Linked DNA regions of Styela clava. The protein of the gene in region 1 interacts with the protein of each later gene in a biochemical or structural test. Links are inferred from orthologs where the notes say so. Each region holds a gene or a part of one and is shown in the gene's direction. Other genes may lie near its edges. The genes, in order: mitogen-activated protein kinase kinase kinase 7-like and TGF-beta-activated kinase 1 and MAP3K7-binding protein 1-like.

Evidence for each region.
Region 2: of the proteins of mitogen-activated protein kinase kinase kinase 7-like (region 1) and TGF-beta-activated kinase 1 and MAP3K7-binding protein 1-like, one has a biochemical effect on the other in vitro, tested with the Homo sapiens proteins (4 studies listed by BioGRID and IntAct). The link is inferred for Styela clava from reciprocal best matches to the Homo sapiens genes MAP3K7 and TAB1.

Annotation. Positions count from the first base shown.
Region 1 is NC_135259.1:21,783,843-21,796,844, reverse strand, and holds the start of mitogen-activated protein kinase kinase kinase 7-like, read left to right. Parts: upstream 1-7,445; 5' UTR 7,446-7,635; coding exon 7,636-7,713; intron 7,714-8,260; coding exon 8,261-8,388; intron 8,389-9,017; coding exon 9,018-9,112; intron 9,113-9,990; coding exon 9,991-10,129; intron 10,130-10,277; coding exon 10,278-10,365; intron 10,366-11,034; coding exon 11,035-11,127; intron 11,128-11,399; coding exon 11,400-11,530; intron 11,531-11,893; coding exon 11,894-12,055; intron 12,056-12,566; coding exon 12,567-12,696; intron 12,697-13,002. UniProt on the Homo sapiens protein: Serine/threonine kinase which acts as an essential component of the MAP kinase signal transduction pathway. Plays an important role in the cascades of cellular responses evoked by changes in the environment.
Region 2 is NC_135253.1:22,515,664-22,529,064, reverse strand, and holds the start of TGF-beta-activated kinase 1 and MAP3K7-binding protein 1-like, read left to right. Parts: upstream 1-6,651; 5' UTR 6,652-6,670; intron 6,671-8,330; 5' UTR 8,331-8,344; coding exon 8,345-8,574; intron 8,575-13,401. Other genes in the region: uncharacterized protein LOC144421899, read right to left, coding at 1-11, 722-754, 1,054-1,077, 1,961-2,177. UniProt on the Homo sapiens protein: Key adapter protein that plays an essential role in JNK and NF-kappa-B activation and proinflammatory cytokines production in response to stimulation with TLRs and cytokines.

The DNA of each region.
Region 1 (13,002 bases):
AAAACTACTAATTTTAGATTTGACTGAGACCTTTTACTTTTGGCATTGCCCAAGTTATTACACTCTTTGATATGTACCAAGGATATGTAACCTGCCATGCCAACATAGTAACATATAATGCCTCAACCGCAAGGCCACTGCTTCTTTTGGAAGAAGGAATAAGTTAGACTGTTCAATATGCCATCTCTTCGATTTTGCTGCAGTTATTAGTTTCAAGTGTGGTGTCGTTAACAAATACCACATTTTGATATCCAATTAATTCAGTGTTTAGTGCAGTTTAATGCTGTGTTATCACTGACGTAAGACATGAAGTTAGAAAATCAATTTTTATGAGCGTTTTCACAATTTCACTATGAATAAGGTCTTCTTGTATAAGCACCCACTGATTTGCTGAGGAGCGATTAACATAATTTCTCATGCTGTATTGGATTTTTCATCTTGTCCCTAGTACAGTTAACACACCAATTTATGTATTGGAACTAATTTGAATCTCTGTATGAGCTTATTCCAAAATTCTATATTTATCTCACATAGCACATACCAATAAACACAACTTCATATGCTTACTCTAACCATGCTTAACGTTTTTTATCTATCCCAACCCTGAACATACCATGAATGCCACTCCATATGCTTACCCTAGCCATTTGCCTAGAGTTACATCTGTCCTAAATCTAGAACATACCATGTATGTTTACTATGCTTAACTTCTTATATCTATCCCAACCTAGAACATACCATAAATTCCACTTCATATGCTTACTCTAACCATTTGGTTCAAGTTTTATATCTTTTCCAACCCAGAACATACCATGAATCCCACTTCATATGCTTACCCTAGCCATTTGCCTAAGGCAGGGGTCACCAAACTACGGCCCGCAGGCCGGCTCCGGCCCGCAATAATACGCAAAATTGGCTAAATTTTTTACCGAGGGAGATTTTCCCCATCATCGTCTTCCTTGTTTATTTTGTAACCTAGGCCAATCAGCAAGATGCAAAAAAGTGACTTATTAATAGACCTTTTCGCATCCTCTCAGACACTTTTGTCACCCTGACAGATTCTCAGTCGTGGTTGTGAACAATACTTCGTTTTTGCGGCTTTGAATGCTATTCGTTAGTCTTTGGTTGTGTTTCGGAAATTGGGAGTATGAATCAAATAAGTCAATCATCATTTGCCTCCTTAGGAGTTGTAGTTTTATTTTTTATTAGTATAGTAATGAAAAATTAGTCTAAAAATAGCTGTGATAAAATAGGCTAAAATTCTCTACCGGCACGCAACATTTTATAAAATGTTTAAGAAATTATTTTATAAAAACGGTCAAGAAATAACGGAGTTTTAGTACCGCCCGACAGGCCAATTATTACCATGAGGATTGTATTACTTTTTTGATAAGAACTGTAATAAATATGAAAAAAGAACACTTATCAAACACCAATCTTTCGATGTGCGTCACATCGTTGGAATATTGAGACTATTTCAGGATTCTATTCTGGCAACGGTCATTGGCACCGCCACCGTCGCAAATAAACGCTGGAGTTGTGCATGATAGTTTGACAGTGGTTAATTGTGGGTAATAATTAACGATGTTCTGATTGTACAAACTTCATAAAAATTGGTAAGTATCAAGCTAGGCACGAAATACACACGTCCATATAAATTTTATTGGTGTCCATAGACACTATCATTAATTTGCACTACGTATAACTGGAGCGTAATTTTCAGAAGCTCCGAATGTTGGGATATTTTATGCGCTAATGAAAAAATTCAAATACCAGATAATAGTTATTTATTTTATCTAAATTATGTCAATTTCATGGAATTCCAAGATACAGCAGGCAATCCGTAGTCGTTTTCATGAACGGTATTCCAACACGGCGTAACGGTAATAGTCAGACGTGTTGCGTACATTTTTTGGCGCGAAAAAGCAGATTTTGTAACATTCCTAATTCATGACAGCAACGTTCTAATAACAGCTAAACTCAGGATAGTTGTCTAGATATAGAAATCTTGTATATTTGTTTTCATGGGATGTTCTCGATCTGTATTCTGCGATATAGGTGGAATTTAATATTTAAGTCTTCAGAAATGTAGAATTTATATTGTTGAATGAATTTCCCAATTTTATTGCATTGACAAAAATATTCATCCGGCCCGTTTCAACATAGTTTGAGTCATACCCGGCCCGCGGTCAAAAAAGTTTGGTGACCCCTGGCCTAAGGTATTACATCTGTCCTAAATCTAGAACATACCGTGTATGTTTACTATAACCATTTGCTTAACTTCTTATATCTATCCCAACCTAGAACATATCATAAATTCCACTTCATATGCTTACTCTAACCATTTGCTTAACGTTTTATATCTATCCTAACCCAGAACATACCATGAATCCCACTTCATATGCTTACTCCAACCATTTGCTTAACGTTTTTATAGCTATCCTAACCCAGAACATACCATGAATCCCACTTCATATGCTTACTCTAACCATTTGCTTAACGTTTTATATCTATCCTAACCCAGAACATACCATGAATCCCACTTCATATGCTTACTCTAACCATTTGCCTAAAGTTTTATATCCATCCAACTCAGAATTAATCTAACCATTTGGTTCAAGTTTTATATCTATCCCAACCTATAACATACCATGAATCCCACTTCATATGCTTACTCTAACTATTTGCATGAAGTTCTATATCTATACCAACCCATAACATACCATGAATCCCACTTCATATGCTTACTCTAACCATTTGCATGAAGTTCTATATCTATACCAACCCATAACATACCATGAATCCCACTTCATATGCTTACTCTAACCATTTGCCTAAAGTTTTATATCTATCCTAACCCAGAACATACCATGAATCCCACTTCATATGCTTACACTAACCATTTGCCCAAAGTTTTATATCTATCCTAACCCAGAACATACCATGAATCCCACTTCATATGCTTACTCTAACCCTTTGCCTAATGTTTCATATCTACTCCAATTCAGAACATAACACGAATACTACTTTGTATGCTTATCCATGAGCCCAGAACATTCATGCATCTTCTCCGATATGCCATTTCTAACAATTTACTAAAAGTTCTGAACTGCAACAGATTTACGTTATATGCTTATTTACGTTGTACATGAAAATGGTCGAATTAAATAATAACTAAAATAGCAACCAAAAACAGACAAATTAGAAAACATATTTTTTCTCCACGAAATATATAAGCTTTCGCTAATTGATAGTTCCACAATATGATATGACCTAATCAAACAGCGCTAACTAAAGCTAACAAATATACCGGTACTTTGAAAAATAACAAGTTTATCCTATTTATTTAGGATTTACATATTTATCCTGGGTAAGAGGCTTGATAGGACGACTTGACCATACGGCGAACCGAGGCCTCTCGTCCTGTTACCATTCCATGTCGGGTATGGGATTAGTTAGTTAATTGTTTTCGGAAGCATGGACTTGATGGTAGAGGAAGCCATAACCGACCAGCGGTTACGTTAACCACCCTATGGCGGCGAGGAGTCCAGCAATCCTCTTTCACATAACCATCCCTGCATGGGATTCGAACCCACGCAGAGTAATCAGAGGTGTGGTGGCGAGCGTATTCCTAACGCTTAGCACGATGAGCCACACCGCCACGCCAATATATATTTATCTCTTCAATACAGTACTAGCCTGCTTGCCGGTACACAAGCACAGCTGTACTTCTCCCTTAAGAATAGAGATGTACATATTCAACCCGCATGAAAGCTTCCGAAAACAAAACAATATAACTAATCCCATACCCGACTCGGAATGGTAACCGGACGATAGGCCGTGGTTCGCCATATGGATAAGCCGTCTTATCAGCTTTCCTCTCACCCGGGATAAATATGTAAATCCTATCCTATCCAAAGTCAATAAATATATGCCGAACCACTGTCTCTTGTCTGGTTACCGCATAGTAGAGCTCGACCGATATATAGGGCCGATATTGCGTGTTTGCCGATATATCATATCAGCCGATATATATCGGCTAGCGCCGGGCTGCGTGCCACAACGGCTCTCGCCCCTGTGTAACTGGTTTCTCAATATTCCTCTCGCTTTCATTTTGCGTTATGAAGGTGTCTCTCCTAATTCCCGGTGTCTTATGATTAGCCATTTCATGCATGGTCATAACTGAAAAGTTGTAACAATGACGTTTCATAAAGTGACGTTTTTGAGAGAGTACACAATGAGAGAAAGGCAAACTTAGTAACAGCATTAAACGGTGGTTCTATAAATAGAATCGATTGGAAGCTGGTGAGTTAGTGATCATAGAAACATGGCACAGGTATCTCAAAGCAATAATGTCAGTTCCGAATTTGTGACATTCCCAAATTCAATTTTGAATTTCTGGGGTAGCAGTTTTGTTTATATTGATGGTTGTTTATCATTTTGCTGAAAATTACAAAATAAAAACCTAATTCATTATTATTGACTAAATAAGGTATTGAGAGTCTCTGGAAACAAAGTTATTAAAAATTCCACATGTAACTGAACATATGCTATCACAATATTGAAGAAATTTATCATTATCACGATTCACTTTGAAATATATCAATTTATAATTTTTTAATACCCTTATTAACATGTGTCCACAGTTATATTTAAAAACGTCAGATTAACCCTTTCCGTGCGGTGGGCACGTATACGTACCAACGACAAAGGTCGCTAGATTGCGGTGGGTACATTGATGTACTCCACTGTTTTAGTTAGCAATCGGTCGCAAACTGTTGGTCTAGTTTTTCCAGGTTTTAGTTTATTGATAAGAAGTCTTCTTCGAGATTAACATAAGCGACGGTAAATCTCGCTTTCGTTTACGACGGGAATTTTATTTGCGGCGGAACGAGAGAGTGTTTCTGAAATTTATGCAAATTTCGGTGTTTTTTGGGTGGTAATAGAAGACATATTATCCCTTCCATCTACCAAAGTATTTTGAGCGAATATTTCTATTTTTTATTGTGGTTTGAAGTTTCAACTCCTACGAAAAAAAAATGCCTTTTTTCTATCCGGTTTGTGACTCAGACCACCAATTTTAGAAAAACTTTTTTTTATAATTGCCAATTGAAAGCTCTTTAAATAAGCTTTCCAACGAGCCGTCAGTGGGCAGCAGAGGATCATTAGTTTTTCGTTAGTCGATCGATTAGTTGTGGGGGTACAAATGCATAAAATCGGCGTAGCAAATACGATTATTTAATAAAAAATAAAAATTGCACGGAAAGGGTTAACAATTCTTTTTCCTGGAAATAGCTAGACTGATATTGAAGTAGCAGGACAAGTTACAGAATAACATTTGTTCGAGCATTAACTGGAATTATTTAAATAAAAGTCTCAATGCAATGATAATAAAAATCAAAATACAGACTCACGAGGTGCTTCATAAAAGCGAGGCTCAAAATATGATTTATATTAATATCGGCATAGCGATATTGATTATACGCTACCGGTTGGCCGATATATTGATATCGGCGACAAGAAGTAATATTGGTCGAGCTTTATCACATAGGATCAGTATAATCATGACACGACCCATTGGATAGTTCAAACTGGTACGTCAGATGCTGCCACAACCAAACTAAAACCAAATTGATATTTTTTAGATAAAAAAAAATAGCTCATAGAATTTGTTGAGATTGCGATTACGTGGTCCAGTCCATAAACCTTGTCCCCCCCATAGTATGACCGGTCACTTGTTTTAAGGTGCAAGGTGCATGAACTTGATGGTGGAGGATGCAGTAACATATGCTGGTATCCTATCTAAGTGCCCAATAGATAAATCCCAAGTTAACAGCAGACTACAGAACTTCGGAACTCGCATGAAAACTATATCAAATACTGAGAAATCACTCACGCGATGTAGTCTACGATGCAAAACGTTCTTGAAGTAAATCTCTTATACCGAGTTTATGTCGCTAATATCCAGCTGATTAACACCCCATTTTTTGCATTGCAAAGACTTTATATGAACAATAATTTTTCATATACCAGTTTACCGATTCTCGTTTCACCAATTCTTCTGACCACCCACAGCCAGAAATTGTAAAGAAATGGCGCGCTTCACAGACGCTTCGGCCGCCAAAAATGTCAATTATGACATCATATCCAACTACCGAAGCGTGTAATATGAGATTTCAAACTGCGGTACCTCGAATAAAATACCGGATGGGGCCGCCAAAAGCACGATATTAATCTATTTGCTATATGTAAATGAAATATTGAGATCAAGCAAATTATAAAATGATTTAATAAGGATTCTACTCGGCCTTTTTGTGCGGTTAGCTTTGGGGCCGTAACTTGCAGTCGCTTGTAATACCCTCATCACGTTAATATCGAAGGAATCTTCTGAAATAGGATGGTTTCGATTTTTGTTTCAATTTACCGTAGAAAAACAGCGTTTAACAGCCTTAATTAATATAGGTTAATTTATTTCTAAGGTAGTGACGGTGCATATCAGCGAGAGTCAACATTCTACACTAGCAATCGTCAAACTAACGCGGCGGTGTGGCTCAACGGGCTAAGCGTTAGGAATACGCTCGCCACTGCACCTCTAATTACTTTGCGTGGGTTCGCAGGTTCGAATCCCATGCAGGGATAGTTATGTGCGAGAGGATTGCTTGACTCCTCGCCGTCGTTGGGTGGTTCACGTAACCGCTGGTCGTTCCTCCACCACCAAGTCCTAATAACCATTAACAATAACTAACTAATCTAATACCCGACTTGGAATGGTAACTGGACCGAATGGAGAGGCCGTGGTTCGCCATATGGATAAGCCGTCTTATCGACTCTCCTCTCCCCAGGGATAAATATGTGAATTCTATCCTATCCTCATAATCATATCAAAATCTGAAACATGAAAAAGTTCACGTAACCGCTGGTCGTTCCTCCACCACCAAGTCCTAATAACCATTAACAATAACTAACTAATCTAATACCCGACTTGGAATGGTAACTGGACCGAATGGAGAGGCCGTGGTTCGCCATATGGATAAGCCGTCTTATCGACTCTCCTCTCCCCAGGGATAAATATGTGAATTCTATCCTATCCTCATAATCATATCAAAATCTGAAACATGAAAAATTTCGTGCAATGTTTTTGAAGAAGTTAATTTAGAACTGATGTAGTAGGCAACATCGGAAATAAAAAATAAGTATGTGTGCCAGGTTGGTTGGAGTAACCGGACGAGAGGCCGTGGTTTGCAATATGGTTAAGCCGTCTTATCGGCATTTCTCTTCCCAGGGTTTAATATGTAAATTTTATCCTATCAGCTTGATTCATTCTCAATTTTCATGTTATCGCTACATTTTCCATTTCATACGCTTGGGATCAGAAGATAATCGTTGATCACCAAATGCGACTCCTTTCACATCTTAAGTAAAATATTTGTCTTGAATATGTTGGAGAAATTGTGTGGTTGTGTTGAGTTTTATCCTATTTCTTTGCTGATGTTCAGTCACCGTACATGGGAGCGTAGGTAAAAAGTACTTAGTAAAAAAGAGAAATAAACATTCGAACCAGCTTAGGTGGCGGGTCGTCCAGGTTTTCTCTTGTATGTGGCACTGGTTGCAGCGAGGTCGAACAGCTGAGCAGCGATGGCTCATGTCGTATATGCGGAATCTCCGCCTGGATTTATTGAGGAAATAAAATATGAAGAAATGAAATTGGGGAATGTGAGTATCCCGGTTTGCTAAGTTGGTAAAACTTTATTTCTGTGATTGAGAAATTCTAAATCATTTTTAATGTGAAAATAAAAGTATTATTCACAGTGGGGCACAGTTCCCTGATTCCAAGATGTCCCGAACTTTGCTTCAATAAAACAAAACTCTATTGGTCCCTGAAACGAAGATGTCTGGCACGACAACACATGTGTCAGATTGTGTTGAGCTTGTCTTGGTAATAATTTGTGACCAAAATTGCTTTTACTTGCTAAAAACTTTCGAATGCTTCGGTAAAAGATTTTTTCCTCAGATAGATTATTAGATTAGATTATTATATTTTCAAGGAATCCAATGGTGATGTTTTTAAATTGCACTTTCTTTTAGTTTAGTTTATTGTGTTTTGATTCGATATGGAGGCCCAGCCTGTCTCGTAAGGGAAGAGTTTGCACTCACTGTTGTAATTGATGTCTTTCATGTGCGGGCTATTCTTTTAATCAGAGAACTGTACATTATGGTGTCCATCCGCATCTTCATATTCCGTTTCATCTTTACTTTTCAGACGATTGGCAAAGGAGCTTTCGGCGTAGTTTATGAAGCTGTTTATCGCCAACATCCTGTCGCTGTGAAGAAGATTGAATCTGAGAACGAACGTCGAGCCTTCATTACAGAATTGAGGCAGCTCTCAAGGTTTGATTTGGCATGTTATTCCAGCACTTTATATAACTTACATTGTTTCTTATATTATATTTATATGTTATTGTGTAAATTAGCTTTATTGCACAACTCGTTTTGATCGCAAATTGATCTTCAAAATTTCAAAAAAGATTTTGAAACCCCTGACTCAGACTCATGAAATATAAATCTTTAATGATGCCATGTTTATATCAAAAATCTGAAGTGCCCGAAAAGTCATAACTAATATGATTAATAGGTCCTGTGATTTTATTAACCAATTACCAAGTTTAGTGCTGTAGATATGAAAAAAACAGTATGAAACAAAATAAACACAATGCACATTAATATCCTCACATACAAGCCGACCCATTAAAAACGATCTCAAAATGGTGAATTTATAAAAATTCTCATATATACCGGCCCTACCAATCGTAACATTCCGTACGCTTAGCGCGAATAGAGTTATGCGCGTACAAGCCAGGTTTTTAGTGCGATCAAAGTTATGCGGCTTTAAGGTGACCCCTTAGTTTGTTTGGCAACTTTCTTTTCGTATCAAACTCTGCTTATATGTGAGGATATGAGTAGGTTTGTTTCATTGCGATTCTGACTATTCCCAGCCCTAATCGAACTATTATTTCCAGAGTTTCACATCCTAATATCATTCGTCTGTATGGTGCCTGCAGTAACCCTGTGTCTCTTGTTATGGAACTGGCAGAGTGTGGATCTCTGTATGACTGTAAGTAAAGTAGATATAAATTGGAAATTCAAGTATTTGGAATTAACTGTATTCGATGGGATTTATATTTTATAGACTTGAAAAAAAAATTAAATTTTTCATTTAAAAGTTTGCCATGGTAATAATTGAAATATGCCAGATAGACAAGCCAGGGTTGTACAACTATTTTTCTGAGTGGGCCAATTATTGACAATAGACTTGGTTACCGGGCCCGAGGCACAAGATTTAATATGAAAACCTATGAATTGAAATAAGTTTTTCACAACAGCTTGGCTAACGTTTATGTGATGTAAGAATCAAGGCCAATATAACGTTATTTTCATCAGAAATTCATAATCATAAAAACTATAGTCGTTGAAAGTTGAAAAGTAATAATATAATGTTTATATTAGCATTTTAGCTTGTTACCTATCGATTTTAATCGGTAAGTATGTTGATAGGTATTTGTCTGTCTGTTTTTCTGTCTGTCTGTAAGATACACGCGATATCTCACGAAAGCGAGATTGAATCTGCTCCAGATTTTGCATGTGCATTCATCATATGTTGTACCAGAAGCCTATTGATTTTGGATGAATTATGTTGTATAATTAGCGAGTTATTAATTAATTAGTGATGGGACACAAGGTGTCACTATGGAGTAGGAGCGCTGTTTTGGGGGATCCCCTAACTTTCGATCGATAAGTCTTCGGTCTCTGACCGATATTCTCGTTTAACTGTTGGTTTGAATCTATGGGCTTCCACAGACACAATTGATCTTTTTTACATGCCCATAGATCAATCAAATACCTGTTACTGTAGAATAAAAAAAATAAAATTTTTCATTGCAAAAAGTATGTTTGGCACCTCTATATAAACTAGCATAATTCTATACTTTTCAGTGCTGCATGGGGCAGGGCCTCTCCCCCACTACACCGGGGGCCATGGGATGAGTTGGTGTTTACAATGTGCAAAAGGTGTCGCTTATCTTCATAATATGAAACCAAAAGCTCTGATACATAGAGACCTGAAACCCCCAAAGTAAGATATTTTTTTTTTCTAATTATTTCTCCGAGTGATGACGATGAATGAGGTGCTGTAATGTTCGAGAATCACTGATTTAGGCCGCATACTCCAACTTGAGAAAATCCTTTCAAACAGCTTTGAATCCTATTATTTTACTGTTCAGTTTACTTCTGACGAACCAAGGACTCGTTCTGAAGATCTGTGACTTTGGCACTGCCTGTGACATTCACACACAGATGACTAATAACAAGGTAGGGATTCATGTATTTTCATTATGAGATGGGTTTTGTGTTTATCCCCATTGTGAGGGAAATATGAGAGGAAGCCTAGTCATAGTAATCTGTGCGCAACTGGTAATAAGCAAGCGATGTTGTCAGCTTTCCAGTTTCACATCGCAGCCAAACCAATAACAATTTACCATAAAATCTTAAAACTTGCTCAGAGCTGAGTCACTTTTACTTTGGAGTGAGCGAGTGTATCTTTGTCTAGAGATGATTCTCATTTACTTCTGACACATAACTTAGTGCACGTAACTTTGCTCAGAGAGGATTCTCATTTACTTCTGAGTAAGTGCCCATAACTTTGCTCAGAGATGAGTCTTCTTTGCTTCTGAGTGAGTGAGTGCCTATAACTTTGCTCAGAGATGAGTCTTCTTTGCTTCTGAGTGAGTGAGTGCACGTAACTTTGCTCATAGATGATTCTCATTTACTTCTGAGTGAGTGCTCATAACTTTGCTCAGAGATGAGTCTTCTTTGCTTCTGAGTGAGTGAGTGCCCATAACTTTGCTCATAGATGATTCTCAATACTTCTGAGTGTGTGCTCATAACTTTGCTCAGAAATGCGTCTTTTTAATTTCTGAGTGAGTGCCCTTAATTTCATTCATAAAAAAATTAAAAGTATCAAACCATTCTTTTGCACAGGGTTCAGCGGCATGGATGGCTCCTGAAGTATTTGAAGGATGTCAATACAGTGAGAGATGTGATGTCTTCAGCTGGGGAATCATACTCTGGGAGGTAGAATTTGGATTTTGCTCTTTTTTTTGTGCCACAGTTTGAATAAGTATAGGGAGAGTTTAAAAGTCGTTTTCTAAGCTTCAATTCAAACAATGCAATGTACATTCAGCAACTGGGAATGAGAATTTATTAGTTTTATAAGGACCAAGATCTGACTAGTTCTGCTGTGCCAACGTGTAAAATCGGGTGCTCTAACTACTCGGATATTGTGCCCATGGTTATGATATATTCTTTCTCTTTAAGTTTTTTCTAATATACAACATTGTTGACAGGTCTTAACTCGAAGAAAACCATTTGATGAGTTGGGAGGTCCAGCATTTCGCATCATGTGGGCAGTTCATACCGGTACGAGGCCGCCATTAATACAGGGATGCCCAAAACCTATTGAGGAACTAATGACAAGGTGGGTGCGAGTTTGCTATAAATTTTCACAAAACTTCAAGCATTAAGTTTACTATGTGGTCCTGACAACAGTCTATCAATAAAGGTTTGGATATTTCAATGTGTTTGTCACCAAAGTTTGATTTTCTCCGAGTCAAGTTCAAGAGAAGATATTTTTTCTCAAGTCTTGGTTGATGGTAAATTATCTTTGACACCACAGCCCTGCTCTAGTAAACCATAGAAAACATTTTATGTAGAATCCATTTTTCAGGATTTTTAGGTACAGAAATCAAAATATCTGGCTACAAGATGTTTTCCATACTATTCAGCTTTAGTTGAGTCTTTTTTAAATTCAATGAAAACCTAATATTATTTCTTGTTCCAGATGTTGGTCAAAAAATCCGAGTTCCCGTCCAAGTATGAATGATGTTGTATATGCAATGACAGAATTGATGCCGTATTTCCGTGGTTCTGATGTTCCCCTTGTATTTCCACAATACTCTGACAGTGATGAAGAGTCTGATTATTATGAAACCGGCAGTGACAGGTGAACACTGAATATTTCTATATATAATTTGATCTCATATTTATCTCAGGGGACAAAAAAAGATGGTGAATAGCTTGGGTGAAATTTGTTGGGTGCCACTGCGCTATGCCGACTAGCCCACAAATATTAGCATTTTTATTTAAATGTGCTCAGCGCCATGTGACAAACCGTCTATTCTACATTCCATGTTTCTTGTACTGCTAGATATGGACCTGTGTCACAAGGATGTTTGATAAGATATAGAAAAATAACTGAATACCTATTCCCATACCCGACATTGGTAACCGGACAAGAGGCCGTGGTTCGCCATATGATTACGCTGTCTTATCTTCCCTCTTTCCAAGGATAATTATGTAAATCCTATTTTACTAACACTAAGCAGTCCAATAAAGGTTCGATACAACATTTATTATGTGGAATCCTGCAATTTTGTCGACTACATCTTGTTCAAGTATCCTGTTAGGCAGGTAATTTTGCTCTGCTTTATTTAATTTATGTCCTTATTATTCAGAGGGTATGGAACAACATACAGTACAATCAGCGACACCCTGAGGAAGACACACATTACAAATCCTAATATGACCAATCATGATAGACCACCAATGGTGACATCACAATCTGTGCCTAATATACAAAGACAGGTGAGATGAATGAATTTTTATTTTGGATATAAAAAGCTGATATAACTTAATCGTATTGCCACAGCAAAACCTAAGGAGCTTATGTCACATTTTCAGAAATTGGCTTTTTTGATCTTCTGTCATGATGGACCAAGGACCGACCATCTTTTGGTCCAAGTTTCAAAGCTATACCTGTTTTAGTTTTTATTTTAGGCAGCGCTTTGTGTCCATTTTCGTGTTTGACTTTACAGTTCTGAAAATTACAAAAGATTTCCTCGAAACTTTAAAATGTGACATAAGCAAATTTAGTTCTACTTCTGCGATATG
Region 2 (13,401 bases), on another chromosome or scaffold:
CAACAATCCCCCTGAAATTAATAAAACTGAATTTTGATTCCATACGCAAGACCATACGCTAGACAGAAGTCAAAATATGTTGTCTGGAAGGACGAAACCTTTCCGGTTCGGCTGCAATGCTGAAAAGTCAAGTCTAACGCTCTAGCTGAATGTTGATATGAAGAGAATTACATTCTGTACAGGTTTTTACTTATCGATTTCAATCGGTAAGTACGTTGATAGGTATTTGTCTGTCTGTATGTCTGTTTGTTTGTCTGTTAGATGCACGCGATATCTCACGAAAGCGGACCAGAAGCCTATTGATTTTGGGCGAATTATGTCGTATAATTAGAGAGTTATTAATTATTTAGTGATGGGAAACAAGGTGTCACTATGGAGTAAGAGCGCTGTTTTGGGGGATCCCCTAACTTTCGATCGAGAAGTCTTCGGTCTCTGACCGATATTCTCGTTTGTACCTTTGCGGCTGCAAAATTGCATTTTTTGCTGTGATGGAAATTGAAAACAAAACCGAGGACAACTTCTTAGAATTGACGTACCGTCGTTGAAACATGTAACATTAATTTTGTCAAATGTAATAATATTTAAAACTTTTATTGGTGATAAATGCGCTGCCACGTTGTGGAACCACTACTCTAGCCGCTAGGCTACGGTCATCTTTATATGATGCCAGGAAAGTAAAATATCCCTAAATTATTTACAAACAAATTTATAACATTATTACCTGGCGTTGATGGATCAAGCTCAACTCCGGAACCTAAAATTAAAAGTTACCGATAAGTAACGTTTGACGTGACCTGGTCAGAAAAACAGGCCTAGAGATGCACGGAGTAGCTCTTTAGAAGTCTGATGTGAAGCTCTTTAAGATTGGATTTAAAGATTTATGCCGGAGAATAACTCGTTGGCTTGAACCTTGCATTGTATAAAGAAGATTGCATTAGCATCTCTGTTGCAAAGTAAGTTTATGTGCAGACGGTGGTCTTGATCAAAAATTCCATAGTCGTTAAATATTTCAACTGATTATTGAACAATGCAATGAAACTATAAAATACTCACTCGTGACAAATGTTGATGAACCCCCTGAAATATATTTGATAAATTGAAAAACGGCAAAATAAAACCAAAAGTGTAATACCACTAATAGGAAATTTCGCACTCGAGGCGCATACATGATCATAAGCTAAAATTGTGCTTTCTCCGTGCCTAAATGTCTGTTTTTTTGCGCTAAAAATCCAGTCAAATGGGTAACAGGATGTCGAAGTCGTTTTTTAATCGATGTTATTCAGATTGAACTACTTTTTCTCTGCAAATATAGTATCCAGAATTGGCCTTGAACTTCGCAACGTTCAGCAAGATTCTGCAAATACAGTGACGTGCTGAATAGATAACTTATTGGGGAAAGCTGTTGTTTTAACAATTTCATGTTTTTTCTATCGATCCTGTTTTTTTACCATTTGTCCAGAGATTCATTAAGAAGGAAGGTATGGAACATCCAAGAGCGTAGCCAGCCCACAATTTGAATTTTGGGGGCAATTTTGTTTTGTATAACGACGTTATTAGACGCTTACTCGTGTCTTTTGCTTGGAATGTTGTGTCCCTGACACTGACTAATGAACTATACAAGCATCCAGCTTGATAGAAACATCAAGTTTAATGAAACATCAGTTTAATGAAAACAAACAATAACACCGCTTAGCAAGCAAACTTAGAACAGCGTACCAATCCACTAATATTTCGTTTCGTTCATTAGGGGGAAGGATTAATGTACAGTTATCCTGGAAACATCCGGTTTTCAGCAAATTGTTAGGGAATAGAGCAAAATGGTGTTAAAAAATGGTGTCTTACTGCAAACGCTGCAGAAATGCAGTTCAAGTAAAATGTGAATTTTTTTTTAAGCGGGGGGACATAGCCAATGGGGATATCCCGTAAAATACCTGATCATTGTATTGAATTAAAGTCAAACCTCCCGATCCTTCGCTTTGCATGGCTTCAACTAATCTTGTCATTTCGCTGAAGAAGTCTTTCATAGACTTATAATTTGCGTCTAGATAGTTGTATCTGGCTTCGGGCGAGTCAGGTACTGTTGGAGACAGGTAATTACCATCGAAAATGTCCAAACTGTCTTCGCATCTGGCAAGTGTGAAAACGACCCATAAGAATGCTATTTTGAAACAATACATTGCTTCAGTTGTCGCACGTTGACTAATCTTTACTTAATCTAAATATTTAATCGAAAAAAAAAATTCAGTTGAGGCACTCAAGAACATGAATAATATTTTTTTCTGAGCTTCTGCAACTCTTCTTTGCTATCTTTTAATAAATTTCATTCAATTATCTTTTGCAGCGGTTCCCAAAACGCGGCTCGCGGGCCAATTACGACCCGCCGTTTCGGGCGAAACGTTACAGAAATATATTTGTGTTAGTGTGCAGCAAGACTCTTGAATCACTTAACAAAAATCGTATTGTAAAAATTTGATCTATAAATATCAATACCAGTGGTTCTAAAAAGTTTTAGGCCGCGCTTCCCTTTTTAGAATTTGTCAAGTCTCGCGCGTGCCCCCAAAGTGACTAGCTAACAATAAGCTACAAATAACAGATAGCAAGGCGAATGTTTTATTCGAAAAACAGGTTGAACATACGTGAATGGAACGTTAATATCCATAATAATAAAATGTGAATATCAAACAAATATTTTTTAGTTAGCTTCCCGCCCACCAAAAAATTGTCTACGTCTTACTTGCGGGCGCGCCCCGTTTGAGAACTAGTTGTCTATACGCCTTCTTTCAATTAATAACTTCACGGACTAGCACTCTGTCAAATATCATGAGTATGAATAGCAGTAGTCCCAAATAGTATTAAAATTTTAAAATTTTACAACAAATCATTTATCTTTTACCACTTGGCGAATAAGTCCTCGCTAAACTGAAAATTCTTGGATATCTTCGTAGTTATTTCGCAAAAGTATTAACCATATTGAAGTATACGCAATGTTACTACGCTGTTCGGTATTATAATATATCATAACCACCACCGCACAATGTGCGGTGAGATAGCACTGAAACAAAGTAGGGCCTACAGCCAGTCGCAACAACAATACAAACAACAATATGTTCAACACACGTAAGATTACTACGTTATTCAATAAAATTGTTTTAGCATATGGGCAAACATACATCCAAAGAATAGCTGTATGGAGCCTATTGTATGGAGATGTACTATTACCACTGGTAATTCAAGTAAAAAATTATTTTCCAATATTTTATTTGTTGGTTTGTGTGAGGCTGACACACATGGCAGGCACCCTTTCCTCCTCGCATCTCTCCCCGAATCAAGTAAGTTTCAACCAGTACAAAACAAATTGTGTACAAATAACCAGAAAATAGCACTTACAGTTTTAGTGGGGAAGAAAAGCCGCAGGAAACCCAAAACATGTTGACTAAGCAGCGATATTCAAGGTGCGAATGCTTTTAAAATTGCTGAGTTATGGAGTATGAAAAAACATTGGTGTTCAGTAATACTATTTCTATAATTAAATTACCCGATCTTTTTAACTAGATATTAGAAGCTTACGTGTCGCTGCTCGATAACTAGAATTAGTTTTCCGTCTGGAATTAAATAAGTAAGTAAGTTTCGGTATTGTTGTGAGAAACACTTCAAACGGTTGTTCTCGGCTGGCGTTCGTTATTCGAAACTTCTTGCTTAAAAGAAGCGATGAGATTGGACGGAAATTTGAAGTTTCAATTTTTCTTCGACTGCTCTGGGGCTTCGTTGTTTTTCTCACCTTATATATATATAATTTATATTTTTTATTCACCCCACGCTTGCTTGCTACGCACGTCGTTTCTTCTTTTCATCGTCACATTCTAAAAACACATTTCAGGTGTTCTCATAATGTCTTCAGGCAGCGACACCTGAATTGTATTATATTTTTTGCATAATATTTTCTTGCTTGCACTCCGGCAGCACGATTGTACCATTTCGTGACCAACTTTCCTTCTGGTCCTTTGCCTGCTGGTCGGGCCTATTTCCTCTCTCCTCGACCAGTCTGCTGGTAGCGTCCCTTGCTCGGCGCTCCTCTCTTGTGCGGATCAGCCTGCCTGCCATTTCTTTTCTCGGCCGCCTTTCCTCTCGTCTTGTCTGCTGAGCATATCCTGGTGGCTGGGTCTGCTGCCCTTTCTTTCCTCGGTGCACGTGCTGGTCCTCTACTGCAGCTCGGTCTGCCTTTTCTTTTCTTGACGACCTGCCTGTCTTGTCTGGCGGTGCTATCCTGCGGCTTTGTCTGCTATCTCCTTCATCGACGGGCCCGCTGGTTCTTCCTCCCTATCCTGCGGCTGGGTATGCTATCTCTTTGCTCTGCGCATCTGCTGGTCTCCTCTTCTACGGCTCACAGCCCGTCTGTCCTTTCTTTTCTCGACCACCTGGCTAACCTGTCTGCTGGCCCTCTGCTACAACTCGATCCACCCCGTGAGTTTCGAACCTGCGCTCGTGCCTGACCTGATGTTTGACAACGTCTCTGCGTTTCTCCTGCGCCACCGTCACTTACAAGGACCGAGCTGGCCAGAAACTTGGTTATTTAACAACGTCACGCTTAGCAGCCCACGACAAAACTAATTACCCCGAAATAATTATTACTTTAAACATACTGCGTTGATTCGAAGCAGGTGTATTCACGTTTTAATGTATGCTAAGTCGTTCAACTGGGACTATAGTGTGCGCTCCTGTAACTCTTAAATGTGCGGATTTGGAAAATAATATGATATCCTGTTTCTAATCGTGGTTCAGTTTAGTTCTTTTTATAAAAAAAAGGAACAGTAATTCTGCAATCATTGTCGATAATGTGCGTTAGATAATTAAAAGAGCGAATCCGTAAACCCCAATTCTGACTGTCAGTAAAGGAATACAAAGACTGGAAGACGATTCATCGATTTGATCATTTTTTACCTCTTGTGCTAACTGACCGCCCTATATCTGGTTTACTGTTTCTAAATTTAATAAACATCTCACGAAAAATCTTGAAATTGGCGCGGCGTTATGTTCTTTTACAGAATAAAACGATATTATACAAACTGGTAATAAAACGAAAAACCCGACAAGTTTTGCCCAGTGACAGGTAAAACATGCCATCCCGCCTAATGCACTAAAAATGAAACGCAGTAAATTGCGCGTGCGATGTACCTTTCTATTCGCTCAGTATCTGCGTCAAAGCCACACGCCATATTTTTCCGGATTATGATGAAATATAATCTAATCAATGTAAAGTAGCCTATGGTCGATCAGTTTCTAATATACTAAAATAAATGCATAACCGTAGGATTTTATAGCAGATCTTCTTCATTTCTATATTTCCCTGTGAAGGTTCATATCCGAATATCTACCTTCATATTCATTTACGTCGTGGAAAACTAATAAACAATATGAAATAAATAAAATGCATGAAACAAATTACAGAAACAGATATCGGCTTGTTGCAGTGGACGAGGTGTCGCGAAAAACTCATCAGTCCACAAGTCAACCAGTCAACGACACTTTGAAGCAGCAAATATAGCAACGGAAGAACCCAATATTAAACATTTACCTAATTAGACACAATAATATGATTAATAACAATAAAAAGAATAAGAAATAAACTACAGATGCCACAATGACTATGGAATATTACCTAAATGCTTACTTAGTAATTAGACACAATCATACAAAAAGAACAACAAAAATTCAAATTAAACTTCGAAATGCCACAACACCTATCTGTTTTGAGCATTAGCATGATTGATTAGTTTGATATTTTTTGCAGGGGGGGGGGGGGAGCCTAATTCCTTATCTGGTGTACCACGGCCCCCCGTCAGATTACGACCAGTTTATGCAGGGTAGGAGATCAGTTAGCCAGATATTTGTTCCAGTTGCATGGGCTTGTTTGGGATTTTCTTGGTCGAATAAGCCTAATCGTTTCTTAACTCTCATTTGGAATTATCAAAAATAAAATTTTTAGGTACAAAAATTTACAAATGTTTTTTTTTTATGTAGATTACGCAAGTCGTTATTTTAAATCCGGTTTTGACTGAGTATAAAATTTAGAAATATTAAATAAAAAATAATTATTAGATTCTTGGTTGTTATTATTCATATTATTGGTAAACTGTTATTTATGTTATGCAATTAATTTTTCATTTCAAGTCTCAAGTATATTTTATGTCTGTCCCATTTGTGTTATGTAAATACGGCTATAGACTCCGGTCATCGAGAACATTGTTTTTGCACTTGTTTTGCCGTCGAACGGGCCGCCCTTTAATGCTCAGCTGATTCCCAGATTAGGTGCTAACGTTTACTTATGTCTGTATTTGAAAAAAAATTTATTGTGAATTAACATAAAATATATAGTGCACTAGTGCAGTACCGATAGTCCTAGATAAGGATACGAGAGAGAGAGAAATTTATTTTTCGTAAACCAGAAAAAAAATACGGAAATAGCAAACAATAAAAAGTTATTCAGTATAGACTGCTACCGGTACTAGACTAGACTACGAGCTACTGAACTGCGACGTTTTTTGATCCACTATGGCTTCTATTTCTGTATTTATAAAATTAGGCCTCTATCTGTCTATAGCCTGTACAGCTGTACGGTTCTCCAATTTCAAGAATGGTCCCCACATTGAAATACATAAATTAGGATAAAACGGTGAGTGCAAACCTCTGGTTTACGAGACAGTTTGGGCCCCATAAATAGGCATATTTCAGTAATTTGGCAAACCAGTTCTGCGCAATAAACTAAAAGAAAGCACAATCTAAAACCTCACCATAGGATTCCTCATAAAAAAATGTATTGATGAAAAATTTTTTACAGTAGCATATAAATATATTTTGGTTTTCTCGTAAAAAATATCATACACAAAAACCAAACAATGAATGCACAGAAGATTAGGAAAATTGGGGGAACTGGCAAAACCTCTATAAAGGTTTAATGCAAGTAAATATACATGCAAACATGCTGCATAAATATGCACACGAGCGTTTTCAGCAAAATGAACACAATTTTGGTCTTGTGACGGCCACGTTCAATTTAGATCATTATCGAGACGAGCATGGTGCAATCTGACGCATCCGCCATCATGCCAGACTCACTCGTTTCAGGATCAAATAGAGTATTTGTTTAATTGAACAAATAGTCTGGCAATCTTGGAATCGAAGAACTGTGTCCTTCTGATTGCCAATGATGTTTTCGTTATAACCATTGCTATGAAACATTCAGACATTAGCCAAAATACAGCAGTGAGACGTAAAGTTTTCAAACTTATTATAAAACTGTGAACTATGAATTATACAAATTTAATTTGAACTTTTCAAATTAATGTTGAAAAGTAAATATTAAAAACATTCATAAGCCACCATTTTTGGCAGCGCCAGATCCAACTATTAGGAGGAGCTGCATTAAACACAGTGACCCTGCGGCTCCAGCTCTGGGTAAATATCTCTTTATCATCTCAATTTGAAGGGGCACTACATATTGACGCATCGTGCTAATCTTCAGGAATATGCTGACCACCGCATCTCTGGTTATCCTGATTGGGTTTGCAGGTTCAAATCTCATGCAGGGTTAATTATGTGCGAGAGGATTGCTGGACTCCACATCCAGTACAGCACACTATCCAAATTCCAAGAATTTGCCTCAATAAAACAAACACTCCATGTGTCTCATAAACGAGGGGCGTCTGGGACCACGACAGATGCTTCATATTGCGCCATGCTTGTCTCAATAATAATCTAAATTAATCGCGGCCGTCACATGACCAAAATTGTTGTTTTTTGCTAAAAACTCTCGAATGCTACGAAAAAAAATTTTTCTTTGGTAAATCAGATTATTTTTTCTCAAGGAATTCAATGATGACGATACTAGATTGCGCTTTTTTGTAGTATTTTGCGCAACTTCATCATACTGTATTATTACTAATATTGAGGGACAACAATGTCCAGATGTCTCCCGAAGGAGGGGTCTGATCATCTAAAAGTAGGGTTTTTCTGAAACGGGACAATGTCACCCGATTTGTATAGTGTGCCGTACTGACATTGCCGGAGGGTGGTTCCATAACCCCTCTCCACGATCAATTACATGCTTCCGAAATAAAATAACTGGCTAACCAATCCCATACCTGACATGGACAGGTAGCCCGACGAGAGACTGTGGGTTGCCATATTATTAAACTTTTTATAGGGTGTGCTCGTCCCTATGATAAATATGTAAATCCTACCCATATTATAGACTACTAGACCAGTAAATAAATCAACTTCCGAAGTTGGAATAAATTTTTAAAATAGGAACACTCTTTATTTTGCGATTACAGTTAAAATCTAAAAGATGGCGACTGCTGCGCCTTTACGGCCTCCACAGGGAAGTACACATTCGTCCACGAGTTCGTCATCGCCCAGCGTTCATCGTAGAATGCTTAATCGATCTGGTGTTAGTTGGACGGATGATTTACCAGTCTGTAATTTGTCGGATATTGGAATAGCTCCGAACGTTGTCTATCTTCAGGATGGTAAAACAATGGAAGCTCATCAGTATGCCGACTTTTCTTTCAATTTCAGGTTGGTAAAGATGTTTAAAATGAGTGCAGCAAGTCTCATGAATTGAATAGAATAGCCATTTACACTCTTGCTACAGCATCCTAACGTAATACACATACGGATCCACCTGCGCAAAGGCATAGAGAGCAAGGAAAGGTAGTTAGTTTCACGCAACCTCAACTGTTAGTAAAATTTGTACGTTGTTGTTTTGTTCTGTAAAGCTTTTTTGAATAGAAATATCAAATTTTTATAATTCAAATTGATTTTATTCAAAAATTATTATTTCAATCAGTGGTTATATGACAGTCAAAAAAATGCAGTCATTCTATATTCAAATATGTAAATCATTTGAGATATTTTGTACTCTGTCTGTCTGGTGCAAGATTTCAGGAGTGAAGTTGAATGTTTTATTAAAATCGAAATAATTTTGAAATGCCAAATCCAACTATCTTTGCATTGGTTGGTTCTTCAATAGCTTTGTTTGCTAGTTGACCATGTAGTGATGACTCATGTTTATTGAAGTCCTTGTCATTGTTATATTTAGCAGATTCAATGAATTTATTGTTTATTGGATGACGCATATTTCAGCATTTTTATGTTGAACCAGTTATGTGTGACCAATGGCCGAGATGTATCATGATTATGAATATAGATAGTTCTATATGGGTTCTTTAGTAATACAGGCAGTTATAATCATTACTTATTGATCTTTAGATCGGTAAGTATGTTGATAGGTATTTGTCTGTCTGTCTGTCTGTCTGTTACATGCATGCAATATCTCAAGAAGGTGTGGTTGAATCTGCTCCAAATTTTGCATGTGCATTCATCATATCTCGGACCAGAAGCCTATTGATTATGAATGAATTCTGTCGTATAATTAGCGAGTTATCAATTAATTAGTGATGGGACACGCAGTATCACTATAGAGTCATGAATCGAATCCGCAGTTTCGATCGATAAGTCTTCGGTCTCCGACCGATATTCTCATTTAAATATTTGTCACAAAATTTTTCAAAACCTATAATCTACTACGGTAATTTAGTAGTGGGCAAGGTTTTCGGACCAGGGCATCATAATGAGAGTGACATGGAAGTTACATTTCATGAACAATATTTACAGTGTTTCAAAACTGAAAGTGGAAAACTTAATTTTATCGCTATCTCAACAAATTCCTTGAGCTAAAACATCAAAATTTGGTTTTGGCAGCGTCAGGCGGGCCAAATCGAATTACCCAGTCGGCCGGATTTAGCCCATGGGCCAAAGTTTGCCTATATGTCAGATCTATTTTATTGCCAATTAGCGACTTTTTCGACATACTGGACATGGGTTCTTTTCCAGATTTTTCAACTGGCCGTGTTCATCATTCTAAATATCTGAATATTCTCATCATGGTTCTATAGTCTGAAGTAATTCTGCCATGCTGTACATTCAAATTAATATTTCAATAGGTTTACATTTTGTTGTACATTATTCATGGTAAAAGTCACTTAGTAACTTTTGAAATTTATTCCAGATTCTCTTTGATTTTGACACAGAAAGACATTTAATTGGGGCCTCCAGCGGGTTCCCTTACTTTTTCTATTCATAGTTTTTGCGCATTTCACTCTGTATAAGGAGTTACTAGATTTTGGGAAGAAAATAATTTTATTTGGTTTGGCATTTCTTATCTAATTTATTACACCTTGGGTGGCCGTAGCTGCATGGGATTGTCTGATGTTATTACTTATCGATTTTAATCGCTAAGTATGATGATTGGTATTTGTCTGTATGTATGTCTGTTAGATGCACGCGATAAAGCGAGATTGAATCTGCTCCAGATTTTGCATTTGCATTCATCATATCTCGGACCAGAAGCCTAGATTTTAATGAAAATTTGAGCTTCTTTCACTGGACTTTTGAGTTTGGTCATGTGGTGGTATCAATAAGCTTGTACATTTTCTATAGCATAAGCATAGAGCGATGCTTATGGGCCTGTTTTACAGTAAGCCATGGTACAAACTACAAACTGCTAAATTTAACATGGTTTGTCTAATCTTAGATGATTTGTACATCCATCCTCTACCATACCTCAGCGACCCCACCGACTCCATGACCTGTTTGCAACCCTACCTAATTATCACTCCGACCCAATTTGGGGTCGCGACCCCTGGTTTGGGAACCCCTGTATTAGACTCTCAGTGAGGGGATAAGAATGATTGATAAACTTAGGACAGGATTTACATATTTCACCTGTGAGAAAGGAAAGTTGATAAGACGGCTCAATCATATGATTGACCTTCGATTCGACCTATGGTGAATAAAAAAAAAACAAGAAGAAAGCCGATAGGACAGCTTAATCATATGGCGAACCACGGCCTCTTATCCGGTTACCGTTCCATGTCGGGTATGGGATTAGTTAGCCAGGTGTTTGTTTCCGGAAGCATGGACCTGATAGGGGAGGAAGGTGTAACCGATCAGCAGTTACGTGAACCAACCTACGGTGGCGAGGAGTGTAGAAATCCATGGGATTTGAACCTGCGAACACGCAGGGCTGTGGCGAGCATATTTCTAGCTCTTAGCATGTTGCGCCACACCATTTAACCTGATATGTCATTATAGTTAATCCGGACGCTTTAGCCATCTCGCTTAGTAATGAAATATGTTACAGTTTATTTGTCTACATTGCAAACATTTCTAGTTGCAATCACTCATAATTTAGTCCTGTCTCATATTAGATCAAGTTGTATTTCAATAACTAGAGAGTAGTGTTTACCGATGTGCTCAGAAACAAAGTTTTCAGTCTATAGGTGACTCATTTTTATGCACATGAATTTCAAAATTTTTTTTGTATGTGGACTTTGAACGGGCTATTCCAAGTGACACTACAAGACAATTCCAGAAATTTTTCATGTTGTTAGATGCAATATATTTTTACATTTTCAGCTACATGTTTTGTTTTATTGTCCAATCAGTTGCTTTATTGAATATGTAAAAAAAAAATTGCACAAAAGTTAAAACCAAGACATACTTAGTGGATATAAAAAATAACGTAAAATATAGTGTGACAACACAGGACAGCAAATCCACCTTGCACTAACAGTACTTATGCTGTAATTTTTTGCGATGGTACAGCAGGAGCCCATAATATTTTCTGGTGCAGTAGCTGAAGGAGCTCTATGTGTAGCTCAATTCACCTAATGTAACAGTGTAAATCCATGCCAATAATTTGCATTTTGTATGTGACACTACAGGACGATACACCACAAGACATTTTTCCACTTCGGAACAGCGGCCTCTATCATCTCTCAAAATTCTGGTAATAAATTGTTAAATAGGCGAAGAAATTTCCTACAGCACTGCAAACATTTAAACTTTATTAACTTAAATTCAGTGAGTCCATTTCATATGAAAAAAATTTATCACACAATCAAACACTTTGTGTCACGAATCATCACAAAATATGCCAATTATACCACAATTTCTACATTTTAGGCCATTTTTTAAAAACCATCAAAAACCTAGGTGAAATTTCAACTTTTTCGATGAAAGGGATGCAGTCCAATAAAATTCCAATGTCATTTAATATAAAAAATACAAAAAAATTACTTTCACTACACTTTTAAAAAAATTGATGGAATTCAACTTTTGCTTGGAATGGCCTGAACATGCTGTTATATAAATTTGAACCAATGCACTTACATAAAAGTGTTTTTATTCTGATGGTTATTAAAACCCTTAATGATAGTTACAGAAATCAATATAGTGTTTTTAGCAATGACTTGGAAGTGTTGTGTATGAATATGATTTAATAAATCTTTACCCAGAATATGTGCTTCATAATTAGAAGTTCCAAAAGTAAATTTTTGACATTGGTTTTTACATTGGTCCTCGCGGCATAGCTAGACATGGTTGATTGAACTTAAACATTTATTGGAATATCAAATAATAAATTTAGAATGTTTTTATTGAAAAAATATCGTTTTTATGCATTGGTCATCTCACTAATCTGACAGTCAAACAAATGCACCTTCTACAAAAGTTGTTTATGTACTTAACTGTTCCGCGTTATTAAAATATTTAATTTCTGAACTATCACTAATTGTAAAATTCGCAAACACATTTTCTCAGCTTCAGAATTGCAAATAATTTGGTTTTGCCCATAACAAGTTACAGACATTTACGACGTTTACTTTTCCACACATACCAGTTATATAGGGTGTCCATGAATTCTCTTTACAATTTCAGTTTTGTTATTCTCAATATATCTTAACCAGGTTTGTTGTTTTTTAATTGTTCAAGTATTTTTACTTCATTTAATACATCTGTGATGGTCAAAACAAAATATGGTATATAAATTCACTGTAATTTTAGAAATTTATGGACACCCTATATTTATGTAATATATATAGTATTGAGGCATGTTATTGAATAAAAAATTGTGTTCAGTTTGACAATCTACCCTTTTGTGACAAGTCTATGTACTGCAAAAATTATAAACTGACAGGCCTAACACTGTTGTAGGATCAAATATCTTTTTTTATTATTCATAGTATCAGGTATTGAATATTTCGAATGCTTTCAAGGTTTAGTGAATTCAAGGTACAGAATAATTGATTCACTTGCAATAAAAATTGTAATCTTATGGTTTCAATTTTTTGAGTACATAGGCTACCAGATTTAGGAATGTTACATGTTGAACAAGGCCTAGTAATTTCATACTCTTTAAAGAAAATTTAGAGAATTTATTTGAATGGGTAAACATTCTATATGAAAGAATGAATTAAACAGATTTCAAGTTATCTAGTTTAGTTGAGCATTGTCTGATATGTCCTAGTAATTCCATAATTGTTTGAAACATTCAGGAGAATT